2 linked regions of the Drosophila melanogaster genome follow. The protein of the gene in region 2 interacts with the protein of the main gene of each other region in a pairwise test. Each region holds a gene or a part of one and is shown on either strand. Other genes may lie near its edges.

Region 1 (4,623 bases), on a different chromosome or scaffold from region 2:
AGCAACTGGCGCTGAAGAAGCGACTGAACTGCAAGAGCTTCCAGTGGTTCATGGACCACATCGCCTACGATGTGTACGACAAGTTCCCGGGTCTGCCGGCCAACCTGCACTGGGGCGAGCTGCGCTCGGTGGCCTCCGACGGATGCCTGGACTCGATGGGCCACCAGCCGCCGGCCATCATGGGCCTCACATACTGCCATGGAGGCGGAAATAATCAACTGGTTCGGCTCAATGCCGCTGGCCAGTTGGGCGTCGGCGAGCGCTGCGTGGAGGCCGATCGGCAGGGCATCAAACTGGCCGTGTGTCGTCTGGGGACAGTCGACGGTCCTTGGCAGTACAACGAGCACACGAAGCACCTGATGCATCGCGTCCACAAGAAATGCATGGCCCTGCATCCGGCCACGCAGCAATTGTCATTGGGTCACTGCGATGTTAACGATAGCTACCAGCAGTGGTGGTTCAAGGAGATACGCCCACGCTGGTAAGTCCAGCATGTTTGGGAGGAGCAGCAGGAGGAGGAGGATCAAGGAATGGATCACAAGGGTTTCAGCCGGGGCAACGGGGGCGATATTTTAGACAAAAGCAATTTAGTGAAAATGAGAAATGGAATTGTTGTTGGTTTTGTAACGCATATAAGTATTGATATACACACGAAAAACACAAGATATCACACACATCTGCATTTATGACGCGAACTGTATGTACATATGCACTGTCGGCACTTGGAAATCGCCTGGGCAACCGGGATTCAGACAAGGGCATTCAATGCTCGGCGAATAAATAAATCCACAAGGATATTATTAAATTATTAAAGCTTAAGAATTTCGATTTTGTAAAACAATGTCGTAAGGAATCGCGAACAATTGTATTTCCATGTAAGCATTAGAACAATTGCTTTTAGACCATATTTGTAGTGCATGAAGTGAATGCAATTTTCAAAATCGTGTGTGTGTGTTAGTAGTAGTCGTACTTGAAAACTGTTTTCCACTTTTGTCACGAAAGATCAAACTCCACAAAATGCACTTAGTGCAGAGCGTACGAAAATCATCACAATTAGCTGATAGTGAACCCATTCCCATTTCGATCGGCGAATCTCATACAATAGATATTCAATTGATATTTGGGAGGATCCAAGCCTGGGGGATTTCCGTGCCGACCTCGTGTGTGTGTGTCCTTGCGTATGAGTGAGAGAATGCGATGGGTATAGAGCGGAAGCGAATAAGAGCGAGATAGCGCGATGGCGGGATGGCGAGTCGAGTGCAATAGAGGATTTATGAAACGGGAACGGGACGCGATGACAGGGCCGCAGATTGTTTTGCTTTATGATTGCCAACTGAAAAAATGAATGTACTAACCTTAGTCTATACTCCTGCAAGTCCAACTAATCCTAGCTTAGTTTCAACGCTGCCACATTCCAATCTAATCCATTATAATCTATTCTAATTCCAATCCAATCCAATCCGAACCGAACCAATCGAGTCTGCAGCGAAGCTCGGCTCTCTTACTACTAATCCCATTATTTTTTTTTAAACTCTTGATTTTCGTAAAGCTCTCTGTACCAGGTAGTCGTAATCGTAATTGATCGTTGCAAGTGCTTCGGGAGTTTGATTTTTGAAAACAATATTTTACATTCATGTGTAACTTTAGAGTTATCGATAAGTCTGAATAATAGCATAGAAATAAAAACGTTTTCTAAACACTTTACCATGTAAGCCGAGCTGTTGAATGTTTAATATTGTGGGGAAGGGTCGATCCATTTATAAATCAATAGATATAATAAAGTTCCCATCTCAAGATGTGCTCACAATTTGAAACCTAAGTGCACAGAACAAGTTCGCATTTTTCGAAAGTTTTTAAAATTTCTTTTAATTTTATATTCTTTTGACGTAGGTGCACCATTAATGCCCCGCCAATTCTTTAAGTGTACGCATAGAATGGCGAGTAAATCCAATTTTAAGCAGATGATTCATAACTTATTGTTAAATCAAATCTACAATTATCGATGGCCGCGTTGATTGGGAGTGGTGATGATGGGTCGATTCGTCTCGAAGGTACTCGACGTCCCACTTCCAGGGAAGTCCACGGGCGATAAGATTCCGGGAAGTTCTTTCCTCCATCGCGGGTAGGGAAGTCTAAAAGCGCGAGGAAGGGGGAGGGAAGTCCAACAGGGGGACGCCAGCAGGTGTCAATCCTGGGGCAATAGATTGCGCCTAGAGTTAGTTTTTGGCTAATCAGGGCCTGAGGAAAAAAAAAAGATTGTTTGTTTACCGTCGGATAGGAAAGGTCGTACTCCCAAAGTGGGAGTCGTGGTCTTATCTTCCGCCCATTGGTACACCATCGCAGCTGCCGGCGGGGCGAAAGGGGGATGATTGGATCCGAGCGCAATAACACCGAAATTGTTCAATTTAATTGAGTGAAGTGGGAAGCTTCCTTATCAGCATTATTATGGTTACACTTCCGTGGGGTCGCTGCACTGTAAGGTGCTAGATATAAAAAAAAGCCCAATAACTCATTTATTTATCCTCTAAGCTCTAATTCAATACAAGAGTTTCATTTCTGAACGAGAAGTAGAGCAGTTCCAGCGTCGGTGTGACTCTTTTTCCGGTATTGGATTAGACATTGTCACTTGCCACTTGAAATTGGCAATGGGCCTGATAAGGGGGTACCTAATATGATTCAAAGAAAAACAGTGGGCGGTATAAATAGGTGGTTTCCAGACCTTGGCCATCATTCCGTGACTTCAACGTGCCGTGACTGGAGACCCTTAGTCCACACACTTCGTTTACCTCGAATTTCAATTCAACGCCCAAGATGTCCAAGTTTAGCCTCATCCTGTTGTCCGCCCTGCTGGGCTGTCTTGTGTCCGGTGGAGCGGCTGGAACAATACGTGTGGATACCACCGGCATCCAAGTGGTGGATAATATCCATGTCTTTGCCGCCCAATACCCGGGTCTGCAGATCCAGCAGATGGAGAAGGAAATTGTGCCGGCCAAGGCCCGCGTCGGAAGCCAGACCGTGCGCTACAACATGGGAGCCCGCATTCCGGGTAAGTTACCCAAAGCATACCCTACGTTTGACCGACCACCAATCACTGATCCCGCAATCTGGCATACTTTCAGGCGACGAACTGGTGGCCCAGACAGCCAACACTTACGAATTCCCACGGGCGCAAGATGTGAGCCTGCAGCTTACCTATCCGGAGAACGGCAAGGGTGCCACTGTATCCTACGTGGAGCTGCTCTGCACCCAGGACACCAACGAGGGCACCGCCTACGTGGTCGCCGGAGGCATCGGCCAGAGCTTGATCTCCATCGTGCTGGAGGCCAAGAACACCAAGAACTTCTCATACCAGGCTCTCTACTACGGAGTCAACTAGGAGGCATTTGCATTAGTTCCTCGCTAGCTTTATATATATATATATTTTTTTTTTTTTTTAAATGTGACTCCAATTTTAAATACATATGTATAATGGCAGACTAAAATGATTGCAGCACCTGCAATTATCTAGATTTACGTAATTAATTTCATTTCATTGATGGGATAAAGTTTATATGCTGTCATATGTTTAATCGTAAATATGCAATTAGATCATATATGTTTGTACTATCAGTCACTCTGTTAATTGAGTTATATGATAAATCAAATTCGGACCTGTTCCTCTAATTAAAAAATTTCATTTTTAACGAAGAATGTGTAGATCCAAAGATATACATGTACGTCTTTCACTGTGTACGATCGAATGTCGAATGTATTGCAAAGCTGAAAAGTCGGTAATGGTAGAGATCATATATCACCATCCCCAGGGTATTCGGTAATCTTGATCAATTTCAAATGGTTCGTTGCTCACGCGCCTTCCACTCGAAACCGATGATAGCCATTGCCATAAATCTGGGACAGCCACTCACCTGAATCCGCTGTGGATTCCGATTGCGGCTCCGTTTGGCATGGAAGGTGAAACCAAGGCGGCAAATCATCCAGGGATTTGTCTGCGAAAGAGTGAGACGCATGAAGTTTTTGTTCTACTGACGTTATTGAACTTTCCCCCTATCTGGCTGGATTTTTAGAAGGAATTCCCAACCGAATGAATCACGTTTTGGATGAGAACGAACAATGGCCAAACTCCCAAGACTTTGCGATTCAATTGGGTATTTATCATATAGCTGGGCATCTGAGTATCTGAGTATCTGTCTTCATTCAACTATTGGGGGGACTTTCTCTGGTGGTAAGTACGTCAGTCCAGAATCGATGTGGTATATATAGATATGTATGAATATAGTATCTATGACCATGTTGCGTAGACAGTCAATTGACTTTGTAGATACGGTTATTTGTTTATTAGATTGTTTGCCATTGTGCGCCATTATGCATATCAAGGCTAAGATTGTCGTGGAACAAATAAACAAACAAACACGCGCCATCACAGATCGTCATTCAACGGCGGAGGAAACATTTCCTTTATCCAGTAAGGTGGTGCTTCCTATCACTGGTTTTATTATTGGGTGGGTTGTCATAAAAAAAATAAAAATAAAAATCAACAACATACTATCTAGCCGCTTACTAATAGATTGAACTACGATAGCACATTAAGTTAATGCTTCTTGTACGCAGTCCGTCCAATCGTCC
Region 2 (5,488 bases):
TGTACAAAATTCTAATACCCATATGCGAGGCTAACAGAGATTTTCAAAAGCTAAGCAAAGTTCATGGCAAATTGCAGGAGGCATTTAATCGAATATCCCAACTACAGGTAACAATATTGTGTAAATTTTACCAACGGAAAATATATACATATTTATAAACAGGGTAAGAGAGTTTTTGGAACATACTTTCGTGTTGGCTTCTATGGCGGAAAATTTGGGGACTTGGATCAGCAGGAATTCATTTATAAAGAGCCAACATTGACGAAGTTGCCCGAAATATTTAGTCGGCTTCAGGTATATATTGCAAATTGGAAAAAATAGAACTAATCAATTTTGTTTCAACATACGTTAGAACTTTTACACTGAACGATTCGGACCGGACTCTGTGCATATCATTAAAGATTCCAATACCGTTGATATTAATAGCTTGGATCCCGATAAGGCTTACATTCAAATTACTTATGTTGAACCCTACTTTGAAACATATGAAATGCGTCATCGTGAGACATACTTTGAGCGGAATTTCAATATAAGTATGATATGAATTAAACAGATAATTTAAATCGAAATTTAAAATTATAATTTTAACATTTTTGGTTTATGCAGAACGTTTTATATATGCCACGCCTTTTACTAAAAATGGAAAGGCACATGGCGAACTAAATGAGCAGTGTAAACGGAAAACGATTTTGACCACGGCGAATCACTTTCCATACGTAAAAACTCGCATTATGGTAATTAGCCGACAGCAAATAGTCCTGGAACCGATTGAAGTGGCAATTGAAGTAAGTTATGTTGTAAAATCCCAAAAGTTAATAAAATTAAACGTTATTGCCTAGGATATTCAAAAAAAAACATTGGAATTGGCAGCTGCCACGAATCAAGAGCCAGCAGACCCCAAAATATTGCAAATGGTACTGCAGGGATGTATTGGAACCACTGTTAACCAAGGACCGATGGAAATGGCGAGTGTGTTCCTTTCCAATTTATCCGACGGAACAACTGTACCGACAAAACACCAAAACAAACTTCGGTTGTGCTTTCGCGAGTTTTCAAAGCGTTGTGCTGATGCTTTGAAAAAGAATCGCAATCTAATACTTTCAGATCAAAAAGATTACCAACGAGAACTGGAACGTAACAACGATCGGTTCATTGAACGATTGACTCCCTTTATTACTCTTACATCAGTTCAGAATCATGGCGTTGTCAAGTAAGTTTTTATTGTTATACAGTGAAAAGGAAAGTTACATTGTGTATACATATGTATTAAAATTCTCATGTCTTTCTTATTTTGTTCCTCAACGGAGTGCTCTAAATAATAGACATAAGATGCTTAATTAGATATTTATAGAATCCAGCCTAATATAGATATTACTTTACTATATGACTATATTAAAAACCACCAGTGCAAAAAGTAAACATTAACTTATATAATTTTTTATTTCTTTTCTAAATACATCCAATAGGGCCAACGCGTACAACAACAAAAGTACTCCTTTGAAATGGTAACTTCTTGCACACGACTTAGTCTGCAATCAAATTATCATACTTTTGGTCTTTCATGTCTAGCGTATCGGATTATTTTAAGTAAATCTTACATTTTAAATTATCGATCTCTATAATTGCTAATGTAATAGCATAACTTTTTTATGCATCTAATAGATTAAGCAAAATATTAAAAAGCGAAAAAAATAAAGTTTACACTTTTTTACTTTTACGAAAATAGTTAAAGCAACATGTTTCAAGCTACAAGGAGGTGCAGTTAAAGTGAGTGAAACAAATCGTATCCTACAGCAACAAAATTTAATTGTCGATTACCAGAAAAGGGAAGTATTCGAAAATGATAATCCTCGAATTTCGCATGGGTCGTTAACGGTTGTTAGATTGACTAAGAGTGAGCTCCGTGAGGCAATGGTATCGAACGCGACCTATCGGTATTCGCGAAACTTTCGAGTATACTATCGATGTTTTTATTTATCGATAGTGTCGGCTTTAATTACACGTAAACTCAGATAGTTTGCCGGTTAAAAAGACAATAAATAAATAAAAATGAGAATCAAGTATTGTTGGCTCGCAACGCTAGTATTCATAGCCGCTGCTTCGGCGTCATATTCTCCCGAAAAGCCTGTTCCGCCGCCCTGCAGGGCATGTACCCAGCTTGTTAGCTCTTTCAGGGCAGGACTCGAAAGGACAAAACGCGGACACGCGGGCGGGGACACGGCATGGGAGGAGGAAAAGTTGCGTTCGTACAAGAACAGCGAGGTACGGCTAGTGGAGATCCAGGAGAAGCTATGTTCGGAAGGAGAAGTGATAAACAAGGATCACTGCCACAACCTGGCTAACGAGCACGAGGCGCTTCTCGAGGACTGGTTTATCCACAAACAAACAGAGAGTCCCGACCTGCAGTCATGGCTTTGCATCGATCAGCTAACAGTCTGCTGTCCGCTGAACACCTACGGACCAGACTGCCTGACCTGCACCGAGTGCAATGGAAATGGTAAGTAATGATAACCAAGTATTACAGGCCACAACTTACATAAGTGTGTCAACTTAAGATTGCCGTCTTCGTTAATTTTACCCACATGACAAATTTCAGGAAAATGCAAAGGAGACGGAACTAGAAAGGGTAACGGAAAGTGCAAATGTGATCCCGGCTATGCGGGTCCAAACTGCAACGAATGTGGACCGGAGCACTACGAATCATTCCGTGACGAAAAGAAATTGCTGTGTACACAGTGCCATGCGGCCTGTGGGGAAGGAGGCTGCACGGGAGGTGGTCCCAAGAGCTGCCGCAAGTGTAAGAAGGGCTGGAGCATGGACTCGGAGGCAGGATGTGTCGACATTAATGAGTGCTTGGAGCAACAGCGTCCAAACCCTTGCCGACCACAGCAGTTCTGCGTGAACAATGAGGGCTCCTTTAGTTGCCTGGAGTGTGATCGATCTTGCGATGGATGCGATGGTGATGGCCCTGACATGTGCAGGAAGTGTGCGGATGGCTATGAGTTGAAGGAAGGAAAGTGTCATGGTAAGTAAGACAGAAATTTAATAAATTTGCTTTTAAGCAACGCATTGTCCACTGTATGTATTGCGCCTCCGATCATTTAAGATATTTCTGCGGAGCAACGCAGCAACTACGTAAGCTTTACGCGAATGCTCACCTACTTCGGAATGTGCGTGGCCACCTGTGTCATCTTCCAGAGCTCTACTCATATTGCCTGGGGTTGCATTGTTGGGGCGGCAGTGGCAGGGTACATTGCTGTTTCCGAGTACTGGATCAACTCGGAGGCAGGAGGCGGCCACCAACCCGAAATAGATACAAAACAGTTGGAGGAACTAATAATGAAGTCTTTATAAGTCAAAAGACATGTCAACATTGCTTTCCTTTTATGATATACACGAGCGTTTTGAAAAGCATAATCTTTTAACATTCCCCCAAGACATCTAACGATTTTTGTACTTCGTTTGCAGTCCGCAGTGATTCAAACTCCACGGTGCTCGGTGAAGAGTCCACGCACGAAGAATTGTAAAAGTAACCAAAAACGCACACCTTTTGTAGCCAATTTTACTTTAATAGGTAATATTATCAATTGATATGTAATTATAAATTAGAATTTCAAAAAGCAGGGCATGACCATATTTTTTTACACGTACCACACTTAGATATTTATTTGGTTTCAAAAATGTATAAAATCACAAATACAGCATATATTCGTATGAATAAATATTTTTAACTAAAATTACTGACGTAGTGTGCTTTTGTGACGTCCAAATTTTCATTTTGAAGACCATCTGTCGTGTGCAATGTAATACTGCTTTAAGCGGATTAATAAAGGAGCTACAGTGATACGAATGAATCATTGCATTTGGATCTTACAAAATGAAAATTTGTAAACAAAAAATATACACAAGATAACAACCATCACCGCGCTATATAAATAAAAACTCTAAAAATATTAACTAGAGGAACTTAAGCATTACATACGATCGTTCCCTTTGGCTTCTAAAGTTATCCAACACAGTCCGAAACGGATACAGAGCTCCCCCCACAACAGCCATTTAATCCCTACGACCGTGTCAAATGAATTTGACTTGTGCTGGCCGCTAGTCCTATCTCTTCGTCCGATTCATCTGAATCCAATGGACTCACTCGAATGGCTTGGTACCACTTGTTAGTCAGGTCGGCCATCTGTGACTTGCACTCGTGCAATTCCTGACTATTGAACCGACGTGTAAAAAACGGAATAAAGTACTTGCGATCCATGCGCCCAAAACGATCGCGCGCTTGAGTAAAGGTGACGTCCTCTTCCTCGGTGAGTTCAGACAAGTGTTCAGAGTCGATTGCCTGGCCCCATTCGCGAGTTTTCGATAGGGAAATAGATTTTGAACGCTTCCTACCGCTGCCGTTGCGTCGACCTCCCTCCTCAGCGGCATTCCTTCCAGAGCCGCGTGCCCGCCGTTTTTTTCCTGGCTTAAGGTACTTTAGCAGAGGCATTGTGGAGCCCCCCAGCACTAGCGTGGTAAATAGCACAATGATTAATCTGAAATTTTAATTCTTCAATGACTGAGCATTATTTTACAATCCGGAATATGCTTACGTTGTTGTTATGATGACGTGTCGTTTCTCCTGGCTGTCAAGATTCAAGTGCAAAGATAGCGCGTAGGAAATCGCTCCGCGTAGGCCAGAAAACCACATAATGAACTGCATCTTGTTATTGATCTTATGCTCGCGAAATTTGTTGACCAAGAACGCGAGCGGAAAAATATTGCAGGCGCGGCCAATTAAGCAAAGCACAATGGCCCATATAACAAAAGATAGTTCAACTTGGTGTTTAAAAGAAAAGATTGCTAATCCCAGATAAGCAAACACGCAGGTCTCAGCAATGAAAGCTAGTGTCCTCATCGTCTGCTGCATGGTAATTTGGGTAACCTACGATTAAAAAAGTTTTAATAATATATAAAATAGGGATATCATATGACTTACAGTGGATAGGTTGAAATGCGTGTAGTGGGACATGACGATTCCGCAAAATAGTATAGCCATAATACCTATAGTTGAAAAAAATGTTTAGCTTTTAGAGTCATAGTCAACAACATTGATATACCGCTTAAGTGTATTCCCTCTGCCAAGACGTAAGGTGCGTAAGTAAACATTAGCATCATCGCGAACTCGAGGGATGGATGCTTTCGTAAATCGATGTGCTTCAGAAGAAGAGCCGAAATTAGTGCAAATATGACTCCAATGCCCGCCGAAGCAAAGAACATCGCGCAAAAGGTCTTCAACGCGCTGAACATGGCTTCTCCAGTGCTGGCCTCAGCATTGACGTTAGCGGATTGGGTTATGGATGCAGTCAGCACAATAGATATGGCGTCGTTGAGGATGCTTTCGCCGAATACCAACATGTTGAGTATGGGGTCTACGTCAAGAGCATGGAAAATTGCCACTGTTGCCACAGGATCAACAGCAGAGATGAGAGAACCGAAGGCAAAG

Evidence for each region. Proteins that work in one complex are often made in the same cells at the same time.
Region 1: the proteins of Creld (region 2) and CG15043 interact in a two-hybrid assay, tested with the Drosophila melanogaster proteins (one large-scale study listed by BioGRID).

The regions. Positions count from the first base shown.
Region 1 is NC_004354.4:18,492,271-18,496,893, reverse strand, and holds CG15043 (uncharacterized protein), read left to right. Parts: upstream 1-2,725; 5' UTR 2,726-2,811; coding exon 2,812-3,046; intron 3,047-3,119; coding exon 3,120-3,376; 3' UTR 3,377-3,701; downstream 3,702-4,623. Other genes in the region: Pgant7 (polypeptide N-Acetylgalactosaminyltransferase 7), read left to right, coding at 1-485.
Region 2 is NT_033779.5:100,410-105,897, forward strand, and holds Creld (cysteine rich with EGF like domains), read left to right. Parts: upstream 1-1,970; 5' UTR 1,971-2,049; coding exon 2,050-2,497; intron 2,498-2,596; coding exon 2,597-3,025; intron 3,026-3,106; coding exon 3,107-3,354; 3' UTR 3,355-3,468; coding exon of another isoform or gene 3,469-3,527; 3' UTR 3,528-3,733; downstream 3,734-5,488. Other genes in the region: Zir (Zizimin-related), read left to right, coding at 1-107, 163-294, 353-533, 607-785, 840-1,210, 1,467-1,509; Nhe1 (Na[+]/H[+] hydrogen exchanger 1), read right to left, coding at 4,064-4,538, 4,596-4,927, 4,982-5,046, 5,103-5,488.